Linked DNA regions of Astyanax mexicanus. The protein of the gene in region 2 purifies or fractionates together with the protein of the main gene of each other region. This does not show direct contact. Links are inferred from orthologs where the notes say so. Each region holds a gene or a part of one and is shown on either strand. Other genes may lie near its edges.

Region 1 (7,078 bases), on a different chromosome or scaffold from region 2:
ACTAGGTCCATATAGGTATAAAAAAAACTAACATGTTCAGGTTTTTAGGCAAAAATATGATTATTGAAGTGTGTTAAAAAGCCTTGAACAAACAGATCTCTAAATAGTCCACACAACAGATCACAAACATACACAATTTAAAGCAAAGCAGCGTGTGTGTGAAAAATGGTGATTTTACAAACCCTCTTCCTTCCCACTTTACACTCCGCCGGCTCTTTGATCACTGACAGTGGTGCACACTATAGACGCCAAAGGGGAGACCCTCATGAGAACTGCGCATCAGCCATACAGATAATTTCCCCTCAAAAACATTCTTCTTCTATTTTTTTAACTGTTACACCAGTAAAATAACCATCAATTTGAGCAACAATGCTCTCACTGAAGTGCTCCACAGAATCAGACAGGAGCTGTGTGGATAAAGGTCCAAATCAAGAGAAGCAGGATTGAGTCTACGGTGGTTAACAGAATTGCAGCATCTTCATCATCACTCTGACTGACCTATTTACAGTCGCTCTTAGAGCTCCATCTACACATTTAAACACAATAAGTCAAACCGTGTTAAAACCCAGCAGTGGAAAGAACCTTGATGAAACCTGATAACCTGTAAAATGCTGACTACTCCTAGATCAGTTTGTGTTGCGTTGTGATAAGGGTTGCAGCAGTACCAATTAGGGGTGGGCGATATCGTCCTAAAATTTATCACGATAACGATACTCTTGGCGAAATGACAAACCACTGAATTAAATTTTTTTTTTCAAGAACACACTACTGCAAAAAATATATATTTTTATTGTATTATTTGATTCAATATGATATTATTATATGAAGTTAGGGGTGCACCATATTAAATAATGCAAGAATTTTTATCAGATTTAAAACAGAAGTCAATCACCCAGAATGTCATGATGCTAATAATGCACTCAAATACCTCCATCTATCCAGGACTAAAATGAATGAATGGTACTTGTTAAAAGTACTGGCTATATCACATTTAATGCTGACTATTCTTAAAGAAAAAAAAATATATATCAACTGATATGATACAATACCGATATTATCGTGCATCCACACTTTAACCATTTTCTGTAATCATAAAAATGTACAGTTTGGTCAGTGTTTTAGGCACTAAAGATATAAATCTTTGATATGCCTATTAAAGCATATGGTCAAGAAAATAAAAAAATGTATTACGGTCCAGTAAAATAATCACAGTATCGCCCAGTTGTAGCCAGCAGCGTGCTGGATGTGACTGTAGCTGTCAGACAGAGTACAGCTCAGATAAAAGAGCAGCTGTTCTGTCCTAAATCCTGCTCCCAGAGAGTTCAGCAGCTCGTCATAATGTTCATAAAGTGCTCAAGAATAAAGCCTGACAGGAGAGAAGCTGTGGGGTCCTGGACCGATTGCGCTCTTTCTCTTTCTCTCTGTGAGGCATTACTGTAGTACTGTGGTCGGGCTGTTACTATCGGTGACGGTGTGTTGAGTTTTCTAGCTCTTCAGCATTCAGAGTTACAGTTTACTCGCCTACTTGGACTGCAAACTGGTGTTTTACAATTTAACTCTCACTCAAAAAACGAGTAAATACTTATCTAGTTCCTGTTCTGTATCCAAGCGAAAATAACTGTTATAAGTTAGGCTTTAATACCTAAACAACCACAGGGCGCCGGTTAACTAAACGAACCTAGTTAGCTAAGCTAACTAACAATAACTAACGCTAGGTAACGTTAACTAAATAACTTAAGATACTTTATTAACCTTTTTCTTTAAAACTCTTTCCCTCTTTACTCTTATATTGGAGTAACGCTCTGGTAAACCGTTTAAAACAGATAGCTAGTTATAGGTTAGCTCGCCTGCTAACTAAACTTAGCTAGTTAAATAACTTTTCTTCTTAGCAATATATGCAATCATAGTTACAAAGTGCAAAACGTTATTCTTCACACAAATCTAACTTAATGCAAAAGGAAAATATGGAATACAAAAATAAATAAAAACAAAAGGAAAAAGGGGATCATATCTACAGCTAGAAAGATAAATCAGAAATATTTATTTTTATCTTCTTAATAACAATAATAAACTGCATCTGTGCATTTAGGATGCGAGATAGCTCCAACAGTGCAGCATGGGGGGAATTATAAGCTAAAACATCTGTTTATGGACACTGGATTTAGCAAAAGTAATACAATATAAAATCGTATTTTTATTCGCAGTATTAAGGGCGTTTCTCAGAGTAAGTAACAGTTAAGTAAACTGTAGTTTTGGAAAGAAGACTCGTATAAAAGTTAGTTGTAAAAGCTTTCCCAGAAACTCTGAGAAACAACACATTCAAAAATAAATGAAAAGCTAAAGCTAAGCTAAGCTAACGCTAACTAAGCCGGCCTTTGTAAAGAAGGCGGAAATAAAAAAAAACACGCCACCAAATGAGAAAAGGCGCTAGCACGCTAGTTAGCATTTAGGCTAACGAGTCGACTAGCAGACTATTAATCAGCCCGTTAGCCGCAGCGGCTAGCGTTAGCAGGCTGGCTAACCCGCTCGCACAACAATCCCCGTTTCGGCGGCGGAACCGCTGATTAAAACGCTCACCTCCTACTCGGTACATGTTGGCCGCCATTCTCTCGCTCCCCTCCACGAACTCGAGCCCCGGGATTCCCCTCCTCCTGCGCGCGCTGAAGCCGAGCGGCGGCGGCTTTAGTCCCGCATGTATCGGCGGACTCGGCGCTGGCGGAACAAAGCCGGGGAGCCGGCACGGTGAGCCCGAGCGGCGGCGGCGGGAGAAAAGTTCAAACTTTCCGTCTCGGTGAGAATCCGCGGATGTAAAACGCGCCTCCGCTCCGGTCCGGTACCGACACAGCCGCTCCGCTACCCCTCACCGGCCACTCACGCGCTCAGCCTCGCGGGCATGCACCTACAGTCATCGGCTAGCTAGCCAGCCTGTCTCTCTCTCTCACTCTCTCACTCTACTCTTCCTCCCATCCTCTGCTCTCCCAGCTTCATCCTCCTCTTCTTCACCTCCGCTCGGCTCACCCCTCCTCCCCCCTTTTCTTAAACGTCATCTTCGGAAGCGCGAAACGTCACCTAGAGCTCGGCCCGGTCTCGAGCTTCACCGGAGAGCCTGCTGTCTGATAGAACTAGCGAGTGAGGTATCACTTCACTTCTACAAAGAACTTAAATGTAAAAAAAGCAGTTTAAAGAAGAAAAAAGCAGATTAAAATAAATATTTCATGATTTACTATAGATGTGAATCACGTCCCCGCCTTTTCCAATTTTGTTTTATTTTTTATTTATTTTAATATATGTTACAAATATTTTTTATTAGACATTAATAATCCCCTATCTGTTGGAGCTCTCACACATTTCTATAGTCTTTTTGCAAACAAAAAAATCTCATTCGTATCCTATAAATTTGACCCCCTTGTCCCCTCTTTTTCCTTTTACTGTTTTTATTTTTCCACTATTATTTTTTTTCTCTTTATATATTTGAAGAATTGTGTATTATATGTTGCACATTTACATATGTTGCTAAGTTTGCAATCTAAAAAAAATATGTATGGAGAAGTTTCAGGCTTGAAACTGCTGCAAGCCTCATTTACTACAATACCTGTAACTGGTTACAATGTATTATTGAATTTGGAATCTATACATTGTGTCACAATTTCAATTTGACGAATTAAAAATTAATTAAAAAATTAAGCCTAAATTTAGTAGATAATATTTTGTATCTGAAATGAACAACAAGAAAAAACTGACTTCCACTGTACTTCCATCCATGCCTATATCCAGCTTCTTTTTGGTCACTGTGGCCGCAAAAATTTTAACTCATTAAAACCCATTTTATTATACAAGAAATATAAATATATTTCACCAAATTGAAAACATCTGGAATGTAATCAAGAGGAAGATGGATGATTACAAACCATCAAACCAAACTGAACTGCTTGAAATTTTCACCAATAGTGGCATAAAGTTATCCAAAAGCAGTGTTTAAGACTGGTGGAGGAGAACATGCCAAGATGCATAAAAACTGTAATTAAAAACAGGGTTATTCCACAAAATACTGATTTCTGAACTCTTAAATCTTTATGAATATGAACTTGTTTTCTTTGCATTATTTGAGATCTGAAAGCTCTGCATCTTTTTTTGTTATTTTAGCCATTTATCATTTTCTACAAATAAATGCTCTAAATAACAAAATTTTCATTTGGAATTTAGAAGAAATGTTGTCCGTAGTTTATAGAATAATACAACATGTTAATTTTACCTATAAATAGCAATGGTCTCTATTTTTTCCCAGACTGTATATTTAGTTATTAAATCAGTGAACAGTAAATTTGGTTAAATTGATCTCTGTGCTCCTACCGCCCCCTTTTGGTTGCAGGCCCACAATGCACTGTTACAATTTCACCTTGGTCCTCTAGAAGGCGCTGTGTGATTCACGCAGCGCTCGAACGCCTCCTGATCCTTTTTGTGATTTGTAGTTCTCAACTTCAATTTTTCTATACAGTTACTGTCTATTACAGAATAGATAATCTAAGAAAAGGAAGGACAGTGTTCTCAAAATCATTCAGTCATATTTCAGTTAATATATAATACATACAGCAGACTCAGATGGTTTTGGTTTAATAGTGTGATGACACACAAACACATTTATTAAATCATAGCCAGACAGCGCACAGAGAACAAACTGAAGAAACAGTTCACATCTACAAATCAGCAACAGGTCAGTAATGTAAACATGTACTGCAACGAGTAAAGGGTGATAAATGAAAGACTTGCTTTGGAATGACCATCTTGAGATGATTGTCTATAAAGGCACGTACAAGCCTTTCACATTCCAGAATTATCAACATAAACGTAACGTAATGTTAATAAAGTCAAAGTATAAGATCAGTTTACTTTACATAAACATAAGCTGTTTGACACACACACAGACACACACATCATTTGTCCTGTTGTCTATAAAATTGGAGTAATATAGTAACATGTAAACCTGATATAGTGAATGTTGATGCAACACTGACTTCCTTTTTGGCCATGAAAATCTGTTAAAGACCACCATAAACATTGCATCCTCTCAGCACAGTCTTCCTAATGCTGGATTTACTCTAGATTGTGCAATACCATATTCTTCAACATATTCTTTGTCACTCTCTTCATCCCATCTCTTTCTCCTTCTGTTTCCCAGGTTCTGAGGAACTGTTAAGGGAAGTGGGTGGAGGAAGTGAAGAGGTTGGGTGTTCCTTTTCTGCAGCCCCGCTCCTCTTGACTCGCCACTGGAGGATGCATGTGTCCTTCCCACCCAGTGACAGAAGGTGACTGTCGCAGTGGGTGAAGCGTACGTTGGTCACATGACTGCCATGGCCCTCATACCTGTGACTTGGTGCCTAAAAAAAAGAAGGGAAGGAATCGTCTCAGAAGAAAACATTTCACACAGCCACACGACTAAACTACACTACCAGTCAAATGTTCCATGAAAATATCCAGACTATGAAGGAACACACAAGGAATACTGTACTCTGTGAAGCATTTAGGTGACTCTTATCTGAGGTATTGGTACCTTGCAGTTTCTGAGGCTGGTAACTCTGATCAACTCATCTGTGCAACAGAGGTAACTTTTTGTCTTCCTTTTCTTGAGTGAATACTTATTTTAAAAGTTCTTAATATTTTTCAGATTGACTGTAAAGTATCTAGAACATTACTCAAATATGGCTATTTATTGTATACCAACTCTACCTCCTCACAACACAACTGTTCTCAAACACATTAAGAGTATAAGTAATGAACTTTTTAGTTCAGAAAAGCTATTAACTTAAAGCCATTCTGGGTGACTCTACCTCATAAAGCTGACTGAGAAAATCCAGCCAAGATGTGCAAAGCTGTCATCTAAGCAAGAGGTGCCTACTCTAAAGAATCTAAAATATAAAACATATTCTGGTTTGTTCAACACTTTTTGTTTACTCAATAATTCCACATATTTTTCTTATAGTTGTAGTTTGTAGGACTTATAATGCATAAAATATTTAGAGAATGAATCTAAGGTGTGTTTAAACTTTTGAATGATACTGTATATGTATGGGAAACCTGAATTTTTAAAAATAATATCACTTTTGTGTTCATAAGTAAGAAATATTGTATACTTAGTATTTAATGCAAACTCACAGTAAACTGTTGTAAACTGAAAGTAAATCCAGCTTATTTGATAAAATCACATGTCCACATGTGGACACCCCTTTTAAAGAATGAATTCATGTACATTGCTTCCATTGCTGACAAATGATGATCAACACATGCCCCCCATCCTTAACTTCACCTCTAGCCCTATCTATTGGAGATACTGCTCTACAGTGCTCTAGTTCCTGTAGAGCAGTGTCACCAATAGATTAAGGCTCTGGAGCAGATTAACATGGGGGGGCACGTGATGATCATCCACCTCCTTGAACTCACTAACGCTTTATAACTGAATGCAAGAAAATTCTTACATAAAAGCTACAAAATCTAGTAGAAAGCAAGAGAAACTATTTTTAAGTCACAAAAAACAGGGGCCCAATACTTTTAGTTCCATTTGTGATACCAAAGAAATTATACTGTAAACATTATACTGACCTTTGGTTTAGGACATGGATACTGGAATAAGTGGACTTTGCAGAAGTCATCTGCCACTGCCACTATTCGCTCGCTGTGAGAGCGACACAGAGCGTTGATATCGGTCCCATCCGAACCCTCCAGCCACACACCTGCACATTAAAAACATCAGAAAAGCACCCTATTACAATACATGCAGTACGTACGTATGACTTCAGCTGCTCTAACACGACTCAACTGGGTAATAAACTCCCTGCAGACAAGCCTGAGGCACATTTTATAAAGCATTAATACTGCATGTGTATAATACAGTCACCAGAGACCTGCTGTCATTATTTATTAGAGGGAGGAGAATGCAGGTACATTTTAAAAGCATATATACAGTACATATAAGTTTACCACCATACTACATTTTATGAATATAAAGAGAAAAACAATAAAAGGATTTAACATGCTTGCCCACATTTTTATATATTTTTTCACTCTACGTTCACACTGAAGCTAC
Region 2 (7,075 bases):
TTAAATTAGTGTCTTCATATGAAGGACTTCCAGAAAATTAAGTATTTTAGCTGGTGGAATAGTTTCAAACAGTTCTCTCACGTTTGTAACCCTATAAAAGTCCTTTCTGGTGGTCAAAAGTGCAGGGCAGTCTACTTAGATATGTTTAATTGTTAGAGGAGTATCACAGAACTGGCAGGCTGGAGTCCGTTCGCCAACCAGGAGGTGACGGTGGGTAAGAGCAGTATGTCCAATTCGGCACCTAGTCATCACTGACTGTTCTTGTCTATTAAGGAAGTCCATATTGCATTTTCTATTTATGATTGGTGATATTTCATACAGTTTATTTTGTGGAGTGAGTATAGTAGGCATCTGTAATTGGGACATAGTTCCAAGAAAGGTCCTGGTTTCTTGCTTCCCTTGCTAAAATGTCTGCTTCATCAACCTTATTAACGGTCATCACTGCTAACAGTTTTCCCTGTAAGACTGGTTATCAGGCAGGTAACGGATGATTTGAACATGGCTAAAAGAAATAAACCGTGCACTGTAGAACCTTAAATGTTAACTACAGTACATGTCACTCAGGTGTCACTACTGCTAAAATGTACAAATGGAACAGAAGTTGCAGTGTTGCTGATTGGACCACAGCTACAAAGGAAGATCAGAAATTACATCAGAAGAGGGCTTAATTTAATGAAACAATAAGTAAATGCATGGAGCTTATGTATTTTAGAGAACGATAGGCAACAGGCTAGTCTGGGTGTTCAACTAATAGCCAGTAATTGTCCTGTATTTACCTAAACAGCTGTACACAATCAAAACATGAATATTCCACCACATAGCTTAAGAGTTTAAGATCTGGGTTTATACTAAAAATAAACAACTAACCAAGAAAAATAAATAAATAAGACAGTTACAGAAAGATTCTTTCTCCAGGACACTGTCAGAGTATATAACATACTACTCTTGATAAACTGAAGATTACTAGTTATTTATTAATACTGTGTGCAATAAAACCTGTTTAGCCATTACTTCTTACTACGTGTAATACCCCTATTCACCATGTGTAGCATAATCTGTTTATGCAGAATCACTGGTCACTGCATTCACCAAAATACACATACTGGGGAACAACGAGTCTTAAATTTTCCCCTCACGATTTGTTTTGAATTTTTTGTATTAATTGATTGATAGATAGTCTCTACATTTTCTGATACTTCTATCCTGATGGAACATTGTAAATTTTCCCACTGTGGGATGGATAAAGGATTATTTAAAGCTAATCAAACAGCAGAGGGAATGTTTTGGCCAAAATAAATAAACAGACTTTACTTCGGCCATGCATAATTGATTTTAATAAAGTTTCAGGTGATTATTCAGACATACAGGGAAAAATTAAAACCCCTACACAACAGTATTAGCTAACTGACAATACAGCAACACATGCCATAACAGAGTGGCAAACCCATGTTTACTAATGTACAGTACCAAAAAAAGAGTTTGGACAGATCTATACCAAATATCTCTTTACCCAAAGTATATGCCACATTATAAACTAATTAGCTCTTCAGAGCACATAGAAAAAAGGAGATTTGTTTCACACTGTTCTAAATTCCCCATGATAGATCTACTAGACACAGATAATCTGTCCAGTATCATTCACTTTACTTCAGTCCAGGATATATGAAGATATTCTGAATCACTGACTTCAGATACAAATCTGATAAAATTATTGTATTTTTAATTTCAGTTGGTAGAGTGCCACATCATATTGTATGCAACAACAAATTAAATCATTATTTGGTTGGAGAGTATTCTTAAAATATATTTTTTATTGAGTCTTGTCATATTGCTGGGAGTATTGTTAGAGTAAAAATAACATTAAATATTTAGCTATTATTTTAGTGTCATGTGACACAACCCTAATACAGTTTCTACTTTTCAGAGATGTATATACAGAGAGGGAGATTAAACATGTTTTTTTTTTCTCAAGGAATAGTTTTTTTGTATGTGTATAAGAAATATGTAAAATAATTATATCTTATTATTCATATTCTTACATATTCTCATGGTAACCTTAGTAAATGAATGTTTTCACTTGCTGCCTTTGGGCAACGTAATACAGGTAGAACACAAGCATCATGTTTTGGGAGCTTCCCAGCTCTGAAACACCCTATTCAAACGAATTGCAGTCAAAATATAAATTTATGTCTGACATATCATACTTTTCACACACTTTAGTTATAAGATATGGTTTGACACGGTCAGGCCAGGAACAGCAGCAGCAGCCATCATTTGGCGCCAAATTCAGGCTGCCCGGTGACAGCGAGCTAGCGCGAGCGGGCGCGCGGAGGGGAGACCAAAACAACTGCCTGACGGGTTAGCTTAGCCTAGCATGCTAACTCTAGTTATCAGTCACAGAATTGGCTGCAGTGCTTTGGCGGAGAGCCACAGCGCTAGCTAACCTAACCCGCCTCATTAACAGTAGTTAGAGCCACGTTTCTAACGATATTTAAGCTTTTAATCTTTATTAAAAAAACACACACACACAGCTAACCTAGCTAGCAGCTCAAACCCCGAACAACAGACTAGAGCCTGCTGTGGCTGCTGTGCTACACTGCAGGCTCCAGTCTGTTGTTGGGGGGTTGAGCTGCTAGCTAGGTTAGCTGTGTGCGTGTTTTAACGTTTTAATATAGATGTACAGCAAATTAAAGGTAGTTAGCAAGGTTAGGTAACGCTAGCTAACTAACTAACTAACTAAAGCCCAGGTGAGGTTAGGGTTTACCGTACCGTTCCTTCACATCCTCCGGCAGAGACAGCGAGGTCTTCGCAGGCATTTCAAGTGAGAATAAAAGCGGATAAAACAGCGAATACGTTAAAAACAACAAAAACACAGTGAACAATTAAAAGCGCCAATGTTTAAAACAAGCAGCAGCAGGAAGAGCAGCAGCAGCGGATCGCCGCAAGGGGACACTGGGGCTTTTTAAGGTTTCCCAGCAGATGCGAATGTGCGCGGGCCGCTTTCCCGCGGAAAGACTCGGACTTAACCATCCACAGGAAAAATAGGGTGCCTGCAGATAGAGAGAATACGTCCATTACATTTAAACTTAACTAAAAGGCGAATAAAACGCACCAAACTCACATAATACACTAATAAAACATTTACATTTATGTACAATAAAATGATAAACGACCCCCGCTGATATCCCGTCCTTAAACCATCCATAATCTAAACACCCCTTAATCAATCATGACGATATGGTTTCGTCCGTTTTTCATGTAAGGTAGGTGGTCCTACTGGAGAAACTCTACAGATGAGAGACTGCCCAATGGAAAACGTGCACAGGTTGAGATACCTTTATATACCTATATATATTTAGCTCTGAGAAATATTATCAGTTTCTCTGATATTGCTATTTATAGGTATATGTTTGACTAAAATTAACATATTATTTTATTTTATTTAGTTTATATTATTATAAAATATTGTCATTTATAGCATTTAATTACAGAAAATGAGAAATGGCCGAAATAACAACCCTGTTTTTTAATCACAGTTTTAATGCATCTTGACATGTTCTCCTCCACCAGTCTTACACACTGCTTTTGGATAACTTTATGCCACTCCTGGTGCAAAACGCCAAGCAATTCAGCTTGGTTTGATGGCTTGTGATCATTCATCTTCCGCTTGATTAAATTCCAAAGGTTTACAATTAAAGAGGTTTTATTTTTTTGTGTTTAAAAACACACACACAAAATGACCACTAAAGAGTCCTATGAAAACAGAAAACCAAACGATTTTAAAGTGACATTAAATTCTTGAAGAGCCATTTCTACACTGTTACATTTCTATATTGTAAGATTGTAGGATTAATTGGGCACCCAAATTGCAATGTACGTTTGAAATGATTCCTAACATTTTTATATTTGTAACGAGCAACGATGCAGCAGATAAAAAAATAATATAAAATTAATATAAAAATAATATTAAAATCATAGTAGTGAAGTAAAAGTGGAGGTAGGTGAAAAAAATAAAAATACTTCAGTAGATACAGATACAGCATTTAAGTACTAAGTACTTAGAAAAAGTATAGTTATGAACCTCCATAAAACAGCTCTGGCTGTGTCTTCAGCATCGGCTCTCCACCAACCAATCAGCACAGAGTAGCAGTAATGCTAGCGAATTTGTTGTCCAAAAATAGTCTATTATAGAAAAATGGAAAGGTATATGTAGGTTTTCTTTATTGTTTTAGTACAATACTTAATTATGCTTTCTAAAATTAAAATAATATCCTGGACTAGAAGTTACTATTGTTAATTTGTGTTTAGAAGCCGTTTAGCTCCATTTATCCCATTCATTGAAGACTCCCTCGCGGGCTCCCTCTAGCGGTGTAAAGTAATTTTCTGATTTAAAAGAGAAACAGAAAGTGTGTAGTCTCTTCATAAACCAGCTCTGGTCCTACATGACTTGAATCTCAACAAAGGCGGGAGATTCTCCCTGCTGAATACTGCATCCTGCAGCTGGACTGTAGATCTCTGTGTGTGTGTGTGTGTCTGAAGTGTGGAAATGCTGTCTGTATGGTTTAAAGGCAGGAAGGCATATCTGCCTGATATCTGAACTGAATATATATATATATATATATATTACAAATTACAAATTAGTACTTCAAACTCAAAAGTCATTCAAACTATGAAGGAACACATAAGGAATCATGTAATAACTTAAAATAAGTGTTAAACAAACCAAAATCCTCTGTGAAGAAGCATTTAGGAAAGCTAATCCTGTAAAACAGAGGCAATTCGTGCTCTTTCTTTTACTGGTGTGGTCCAGATGAGTGCCAGTTTCTTTCCTTTTTTTGATTAACTGACCTTCATTTCTTAAAGTACTATATTTCTTTACTTAGTTGAGTAGTTCTTGACGTAAAATGGATTAGAAGATTGCTCACAACTTTACAACTGATGCTCTCGAACACATTAATAGAGCAAGAAAATATTAACAGTTAGTTATTAACACTTGACAAGGGACAGCTGTTAGCTGTGAACTAATTTTTATGTTTTTCTTCATAGTTTTGAGGATTTTAGTGTTAATCTATAATGCGGAACATTTTAAAATAATAAAAACAATTGGATTTAAATCCAATTTCCAAACTTTAGACTAGAGACACCTGAGGTAAAATTTAAAGTAAAAGTTGAAGTAAAAGTCTTGCTTTAGAGATACTTTCTTTTCTGGATTTATGACTGCTGAGGTTGCCGGCTGCAGGAATGACTAACCTGGCTGATAGGCTACTGTCAGCCACAAGTGGGAGGGGATTTCTAATAACAGTGTCATTGTACTTTCCGGCATTGATCATCACATACTTTAAAGGGTTTAAATAGTTTGTCGTTGCATTTAATTCATAAGCCGTCATTGTCTGGGGACTCCAGGCCAGCTTTGGCCCTTGGCAATTGATTAGTTTGCTTGTATTGTTGCAACCATGCTGGTTTAAAGATCTGCCAGCAATTGTATTATACACTATTCAGCCAGTCCAGCAGAGGGAACTGTAGACTCATTTTGCCGAACTCCCCAGTCTTCTATCTCTTCTGTCTCCCAACATCTGTCCATCATGCTGACCACGAGATGGCACTGTTTGAGAGGAGTTTTAGCAGGGCCTGCTGCAGACACATGTGTGCAGTTGGGTGGGGCAGGAGGTTATGGGAGAGTAAAAAGAGATGTAAAAGATCTAGACTGCCAGCTTACAGCTACATGAGTTTGCAGCTGTTCTTCTGTGGTTTATCAGGCCTGATGTCACTTCCTGCTGACAGCTGTTGGCTGTGCTTCCAGCGGTATGGTCTCCCAGGGCCCTGGTGCATGTTCCCACCCAGGAATTCTGGACGTCTGACAGCAACCAGACCAGACCGTCCTCAGAAGCTTACTCACCCTCACTCCTCCGAGGCCCGGACGCTCCTCCTGAGCCAAGAACTCCTCCTGAGGTCTGGCGTCCAGAGGTCAGAAAGAGAAACAAGGCCTTCCCATGATGCTGTTCCCTTCCCATTGGCTCTCATCCTCCTCTTACCTCATATCACCCCCACACTGTTGCTCCACAACACTCCCACATGCCCTTGCAACTGGCAAAGCAACACTGCCCTGTCAACAATCTGAGCTAATGGTTGTAGGCCGCACCACTTTTCAAATCTGGTCATGTCCTAGCGAGTCTGTTCTTTGCTGTGTCGGTGCATGTTTTGCTTCACTCTGCCTATTTGGTTTTTCCAGGTAAGCTGTCTTTTAAATTAGGCAGAGGAAGTTCCCTCGGGTTGGGGCATAACAATAGCTTTCTTGATACCAGACAGAGCAGGGTAATATGACTAAAAACTCAAATATCGATATACAATATGATGAAATAGAGCTGGGTGATTTAGCTAAAAACTCATATGTTGATATACGATACGATACAATATGATGAAATAGAGCTGGGTGATTTAACTAAAGACTCATATGTTGATATACAATACAATACAATAGGATAAAATAGAGCTGGGTAATAAAATAAAAGTATTATGTCACAATATCTAAAGGCAAATTAAAGATACCTGATAATGCATCAAATTTACTGGTGTCAATCTACGAAAAAAAATCTGATTAATCAAAGCAATGTTTTTGTGATTAAGTCTGAAGCATTTAATATTAAAATTAAATAAAAAATGTATATAAATCACAAAAAAGTCTGTGATTAATCATAAAATCCTTTATTGTTGGGAGGAGACAAAATTAATAGTGTAGTGTGGTGTGGTGTAGGCCTATCGGAATAGAGCCTTATTTTTTATTTGTTAAAATATCTCGGGTAGTTTTGATGCTTTTATATTAATATCTTAGAGCAGCAGCTGTGGCAGTGTGTGTGTGTGTGTGTGTGAGAGAGAGAGAGAGAGAGAGAGAGTGTGTGTGTGTGTGTGTGTGAGAGTGAGAGACATTGGGGTTGATTTATTTTGATATGCAGTCCAAATTTGCAAACTACTTTCTAAACATTGCCGTAGAGACAGGTGTTTTTTAGTCTGGCATACCACAAACCACACTATACTTTTATTACTGTCCCCTCACAATAATACAGGCAAATACCAGTAT
Region 3 (7,241 bases), on a different chromosome or scaffold from region 2:
TGCAAATTTAAAAAATGGCCTAGGATCCCTTCTGAAGTAGTCAATATCAAACATTGCTTGAGGATCTGGAAGGTCTGGAAAATCAACAGCAAGTCGAGCATAAATTCCATCTCTGGATCTGAAGTCGGGTATTCCACAAGAAACAGATACCTGCAGAGAGTGAAATAAAAACAGAATCACTGTTACAGCTGAAATGTGTCCAAACAATAATGAATAAAAAAATCAAATTACTATATTGTCACATTAATTACCAGATTTTAACTATATAAAATCAATCTTCTGTAAAAGACATGACACTTAAGATTCAAAACTATTTACTGAAGCACTAATGAATGAATCAGTGGAATAATGTGATTTCCATATAAATTGTTAGAAAAAGGCCTTGAAAAATCCAGAAATCTGTTGTCAAATGTGAAAAATTGCACAATAATGACTGGATAATACAAACTGTTGGGGGAGACAAAATATTGATATCATTACATCATATCACTGTGGTGGTGCTAATCAAATTAATAGGGTAAACCTGCTAAATATGGTAAAGCTGCTGTGAATAAGAATATTGGTTGTCAAACTATGTGAAACTGACACCAATAAACGTGTAATACCTGATTTTTGTCTTTTTTTTAATGAGTTTTTGACTTGTTAAGTTTCTAATGTAGCAGAATCACAATATCGTGGTTGCATCATTGTCATGGTCAGCATATTGTGATAATATCGTATTGTGAGAGGCCCTGTGAGTCCTACCCTTACTTCTAAGTACAAAACAGGACAACAAGCTTACAGAACAGTGTGAATACTTCTAATAAACCAAGGGACTTTTTTTTTTATTTATACCTGATTATATCAAGATGTTAAACCTAATTAAATAACTCACCCCTGCTCCAGTTAGGACAAGTATCTTTTTGCCATCATTAAGCAGTCTGACGACATCCTCCAAGGTGTTAATATCTTTGCGTTTCTTTCTTTTAGGAGGCTCAGAAATATTAATGATAATCTGCCACAGTGTCATGTCGTCTAGATCAGGTGGAAGAACAGTTTCTGGAAGTAAGTCTTTCAAAATCGTCCTCGGGTCGGTCTCTCTCATGATGTGCTGCTGAATGAAACGGTAGGAACCTGTCCAATCACACAACAATGCATACAGGTTAACATTTAAAAAAGCGATGCACTAATGTGAATATTTACAGATATCTGAAATTGTACTGAAATGAAAGCTTGTTTGCCACTAGTTCGAACATACCAATCTGAGGCTGAGGAGTCCAGTCACTGGAGCTGGCATGAGAAGAGCAGTCATCATCATCTTCATCATTAATATTAGGAGAGTAAAACCCATTTGGGCGGACACTGCCGTCGATTACCCCTGTAAAAGAACCAGAACCATTAATATCAAGCACTTTATGTACTTACGGCAAAGATTTTTAACCTAAAGCACAACAATGACACATGTGCTAACTCTGTTTTACTGGTAGAAACTCATTTCAGATATTAGCTATAACATATTTATTAGTACAAAAATTTAGATCTGCAGATCTAAAAAAAAAAAAAAAAAAAAAAAATCGTATTGTTTTGTTATAAAAGTCGTATTGTTTTGTTATATTGTTGTTCATTTGTTTTGTTATATGTGTGTTGGTTGTATATGCTGTGAATTTGACCTAATATTGTGTCTATTTCAGTATGTTAGATTGTATTTTATATAAAAAAAATAATAGTAAGTTAGGTTATCCAACCTAACTTACTATACAGCTAACTTTACAGCTAAGACAGTCAGTTTTACTGATTAATTAACGTTAACTAAGTAATTCTGTTATTGCTGACTATGGTAGTATTCTAGCTTAATTAGTTTCTTCAGATCGATCAATAAAACTGATAAAATCCTAATTTAGCGTTAGCCAAAAGATCCTATGCTCTTCCTTTCCTGGGGCAGTCCTGATGAGTGCCAGTTTCATCATCATGTTGTTTTGATGGTCTTTGCATGATTGCACTTAAGGATACTTCCATTTTTTTTCTCTTTACATAGTTGAGTATTTTTGACATAATATGGATTAGAACATATAAATTCCTAGATATTTTGAAGCTTTTTAGTCTTATTTGAAATTTATTTTCTGTTTGTGTGTGATTTTGTTTTGTTTTGTTATATGTGTGATGTTGGTTGTATTTGCTGAGAATTTGACATACTATCTTGTTTATTCATTATGCTGGATTGCATTATATACAAGAATTAAAAATAATAATAAAAAAGTTTGTTAACCTAGCTAACTTTACATCTAATACAGTCAATTTCACTTGTTAATTTACTAGTTAATTCTGTTATTGCTGACTACGGTAGCTATCTAGCTTAATTAGTTTCTTCAGATAGATCAATAAAAGTGATAAAATCCTGATTTAGCGTTAGTTAATAAGGATATTAATATAACGTTATATTTAAATTCCCGCTGCTGTTGGGTAACGGGAAAAGCTAGTTAGTTAGCTGACTGGCTAATTCAGTCACCGAACCATCGCGAGATTTTGTAGCCAAATCTCGCGCTAACATTAGCCTCGGAGCAGCCGCCAATCGTCCCAAACCCCCTCGGTGTGATCCGGTTACCTGAGAGCTCGTGTTCCGCCGCGGGTTCGGGAGTCTGCTCGCTGTTAGAACCGTGTTTACTGTTCTCAGACATCAGCAGTCCGTCAGCGGGTTCCCCCGGCGCCGCGGCCTCAACCCCCGCCTTCCCCGGCTCCTGATCCGCGGGCTGGGTTAAATCCTCGGCCGCCCGACCCTCAGCGAGCTCCGGCTCTCCCGCGCTCTGCTCGCCGCGGGTCGGATCCGGATCGCGGCTTTTAGATACACTAATCCGCGCTTTCTTCAGCACAGGCTCTTCCGAGTCACCAGAACCGGACCCGGTACGAGAACCGGCTCCTTTTAACGAAGCCTCCCCGTCCGCCATCTTCCTGTGCTCGCGCCGTTCCTGATGTGATGTGATGTAATGGACACGGGCGCCGTACGAGCTCGCGAGCCTCTCACCACACACACACACACACACAGCTGGGGGATATTTAACCCGCGCACGTGACTCCCGCTCCGCCACTACAACAACGTGAATGACGTCAGTCAACGGAGCCCTAACAAAGACAGGAGAGCCCATAATAAACCCCACAAACCAGCAGATTCATACAGATATAAATCAATAAAACAGATTATTCAGCTGATGCAGACAAGTTTCAACTGTGTGTTCTGTACATTTTATTTAATAGTATTTTTCTGGCAAATATTATTTACACAAATCCCACTATAATAGTCGATAATTTAATTAATTATTTCGAATAAGTCAAATTTAATTTATTAATAGTCATTGATAATTTCAGAAATGTCCTAACATAGATTTAAAGATTCAATTTTTTTTTAAGTTTATTGTCATCTGCACCCTTAAACACAATAAAGTACAATAAACTTCTTTCTTTGCTTCTCGAAAATGATCCCACATAAAGAGAAAAGTATAAAAAATACAATAAAGCAAGAAATAATAAAGTAAATAAATATAAATATATAATACATTGGTGTTAAATTTACATCAATAATTAGGAACCCACGCATTTCTGGGTATTGATACCAAACTCAAAATTAAATCAGAAAAATTCAGTGAGCAGCCCATTCATGTTTGTTTCCTACCGTGGACACACAATAAATATTGTGGACTTAAATATTTTAAGTTTAAAACCATAATGCAACATAAATGACACAAAAAGTATTTCCTAACTATTATGAACATTTATACATTTGTTATGCATTTGTTTTAGAAATCATGTTACTTCAAACAATACACTTTAAAACTGAGCTTGTTTAGTTTTATCTCCAGCCCTAATCCTACAGCACTCCTACTGTACTATTCTGTATAAATGAACTCACATGAAGGAACACAGATTCACACACTGTCTTGTAGTGATGATGCTCTCAGGATGTTCAGTACAGTCAGTAAGAAACTTTACACAGCTTTTAAATGGTCTGTGACATATGTTACTGTGGGTTTCTTTTTTGATAACAATTCCATAAATGTCCTGAGAATAGTAGCTGGCTGTAAGATATACGTGGGATGTATTTTGTATAGTGTTTTAACATTTATAGTATATAACCTAATATACTAAAATAATAATAATAATAATAATAATAATAATAACAATAATAATATAATTGCATAATAATAATATTATATTATTTAGTTTATATGTATATATTTTATATGCTTTATAAAATGTGATCAGTATATTAATAAATAGAATCGCTTGTTCTTTATATAAGAATTTCATATTAATTTGACAAATAGAAATGCATAACTTATTTAATATTTATTATTGACTTCACATTGACTTTACATTGGCAGTGTTGATTAGATGTATCCGGTAGCTTGTGAATGTTTGTGCTGCTGTTTTAACGAATGAAAATCAAAAACATTTAGTTTTGTCTCGGTCACTCCGGGTCCGGTGGGCGCGGGGTTTAGGGTATTTACGGTAGAGTCCGCGACGGCGGAGTTCAGAGAGCTGCGGGGGAAAAGGCTGCTCTTATGGAGGCGATACTGAACTGCAACCCGGAGGATCTGGAGGATTATTATGGGCTGCTCGGCTGCGACGAGCTCTCTACGGTAAGAGTTACCCGCTGTACCGGCTCTTCTACCCGGTATCAGCCTCCAGCCAGGCGGGGGATGGAGGTTAACGGCTGGGAGAGCCACACACTGACCAAATACTGACTAAACACTGACCCAACACTGACCACAGACCAAATACTGACCAAACACAGACCACAGACCAAATACTGACCAAACACAGACTAAAAACTGACCATACACTGACTAAACACAGACCAAATACTGACCAAACACAGACTAAACACTGACCATAGACTGACCGAAAACTGATCAAACACAGACTAAACACTGACCATACACTGACCAAATACTGATCAAACACTGACTAAACACTGACCATACACTGACCAAACACTGACTAAACACTGACCAAATACAGACTAAACACTGACCAAATACTGACTAAACACAGACTAAACACTGACCATACACTGACCAAACCCTGACTAAACACTGACCAAATACTGACTAAACACAGACTAAACACTGACCAAATACTGACTAAACACAGACTAAACACTGACCAAATACTGACTAAACACAGATTAAACACTGACCACAGACTAAACACTGACAATACACTGACCAAACACAGACCAATAACTGACCAAATACTGACCAAACACAGACGAAACACTGACCAAATACTGACTAAACACAGACTAAACTTTTATGTTTATTTTTTAGACTGAACAAATTCTCAGAGAGTTTAAAGTGAGAGCACTGAACTGCCATCCTGACAAGAACCCCAACAATCCCGCAGCAGGTGAGCTGATTATAATTTATTATGGCTTTACATATACATTTTTAGGTATGAAATCTGAACCTATACATGTATATTACAATATACATATTACACTTAATTTTAGAGTTAAATGGCGGCAATCGCATTTGACTTACTGAATCATTGATTAACTATACCAGCTTGTGGATGATGCAGCACATAATACTGAATAAATTCATACATACTGATCAGATGATTTGATTTTCTTGCTGATACTGTGTGTGTTTTGCAGTGGAGGAGTTTAAAAAACTACAGGAGGCTAAAGATGTTCTGACTGACGAGTCGAAAAGGAAGAGTTATGATTTCTGGATGAGGAGTCGGATCACTGTGCCGTTTAAAGAGTGGCAGGCACTGAGGGACTCCGTAAAAACCGTGAGTGACATTATCGACTGGATATTGCTGATCAAATAATCACATTTATTTATGTGTGTGTACAAAACTATATTCAATTACTCCAATATATATTCTATGTTATATGATGTACAACAGAACATAATATACAGAGTATTACACACAACAGACACACAAACACACTCTCTCTTCTGACTTCATATGTACTGAATGAATGTGCTAATAACTGTCAATCATTTATTGTCTCTAATTGTCTCCAGTCAGTGCACTGGGCTGTAAGAACCAAAAAGGAACCCATGCTTGCTGCACCACAAGATATATCTGAAGTCAGCACCGAAACCAGAGCCATCCAGTCTGAGGGTCCAGATTCCATAAAGGAGGAAACATCTGGTGAGATTTATTTTGTTTCAGTAAATAACTTTCTGGATATATTTTTATTATGAAAGTCTGCGCGAAAAACTAATATAATAGTAATAAAATAAAACATCGAAAAAGTAAGGCGATATCACTATGATCGGAGAAACGTGAGTTTGAATCCTGGGTCATGCTGCTTGTCCATCAGCAGCTGGAGTCTAAGAGAATACAATTGGCCATCCTCTCTCTGGGTGGGTAGGTGGCGCTTAATCCCCTCATCACTGGTCAGCACAGGCATGAAAACTGGAGAAAATTGGGTAAAAAAAAAGATTTAATAAATTGGTCTATCTGTCCATCTAATTCTGTTTTTTTTTCTTTCAGGTGAGGATTATTGGTGTCACAGATTTCGCTGGGCAAGTGATGCTCCCTCAAGCCTGTTGCAAAAGTTTAGAAATTATGAAATATGATTATAATTATAAGCTCTTCATGCTCCAGACTTGCTTGCTGTAATTTGTGGTAATGGTTAATATCTTACAGAGATTATTTCTTATTGTTAAATAGATTAGACTTTGTGTGTTTGTATGTTGTTAAATTTATAAACTATGTTAGCTGTTGGATAACTATGGGAAATGTGTGCTATACTGTAAATGTTCAAGCTCTCAAAAGTTAAAAAAAATGTGAAGAAAAAAACATGAATAAAAACAGTCACAAACTGACAAAACCACTGTCAAAAACTGTTTATTATCATTGTGGTGGTACGTACTTTATTTACTCCAGATACACACATGTATATGTGTTATACTCATGCTTTATACACTATACTAAGACTATATCCAGTACTCATGCTTTATACAGTAGACTCACACTATATACACTATACTCAAACTATATACAGTATACTCACACTCTACAGTATACGTGCCGTGTATACAATATATTAATTCTACACACAGTATTTTCACATATACACAACACTATATACACTATACTCATCCTATGTACAGTATACTCACCAAATGTATACTATACTCACATTATAGAGCGCACGCATGTACAGTATATTCAGATTAAATATAGTATACTCATATACACTAAAATAATTTTATATAGAGTAAAATCACACTGTGTGCATGGTAAGA

Evidence for each region.
Region 1: the proteins of dnmt1 (region 2) and mta2 purify together in Homo sapiens (affinity purification with western blotting; 3 studies listed by BioGRID and IntAct, with this or other methods). This does not show direct contact. The link is inferred for Astyanax mexicanus from reciprocal best matches to the Homo sapiens genes DNMT1 and MTA2.
Region 3: the proteins of dnmt1 (region 2) and sirt1 purify together in Homo sapiens (affinity purification with western blotting; 3 studies listed by BioGRID and IntAct, with this or other methods). This does not show direct contact. The link is inferred for Astyanax mexicanus from reciprocal best matches to the Homo sapiens genes DNMT1 and SIRT1.

Annotation. Positions count from the first base shown.
Region 1 is NC_064415.1:31,199,315-31,206,392, reverse strand, and holds the start of mta2 (metastasis-associated protein MTA2), read right to left. Parts: upstream 3,019-7,078; 5' UTR 2,606-3,018; coding exon 2,578-2,605; intron 1-2,577. Other genes in the region: eml3 (echinoderm microtubule-associated protein-like 3), read right to left, coding at 5,145-5,375, 6,595-6,725. UniProt on the Homo sapiens protein: May function as a transcriptional coregulator. Acts as a component of the histone deacetylase NuRD complex which participates in the remodeling of chromatin.
Region 2 is NC_064410.1:3,869,004-3,876,078, reverse strand, and holds the start of dnmt1 (DNA (cytosine-5)-methyltransferase 1), read right to left. Parts: upstream 3,002-7,075; 5' UTR 2,817-3,001; coding exon 2,770-2,816; intron 1-2,769. UniProt on the Homo sapiens protein: Methylates CpG residues. Preferentially methylates hemimethylated DNA. Associates with DNA replication sites in S phase maintaining the methylation pattern in the newly synthesized strand, that is essential for epigenetic inheritance.
Region 3 is NC_064414.1:2,518,690-2,525,930, reverse strand, and holds the start of sirt1 (NAD-dependent protein deacetylase sirtuin-1), read right to left. Parts: upstream 3,019-7,241; 5' UTR 2,922-3,018; coding exon 2,582-2,921; intron 1,358-2,581; coding exon 1,238-1,357; intron 1,114-1,237; coding exon 875-1,113; intron 151-874; coding exon 1-150. Other genes in the region: dnajc12 (dnaJ homolog subfamily C member 12), read left to right, coding at 4,533-4,610, 5,301-5,379, 5,630-5,769, 6,009-6,138, 6,484-6,569. UniProt on the Homo sapiens protein: NAD-dependent protein deacetylase that links transcriptional regulation directly to intracellular energetics and participates in the coordination of several separated cellular functions such as cell cycle, response to DNA damage, metabolism, apoptosis and autophagy.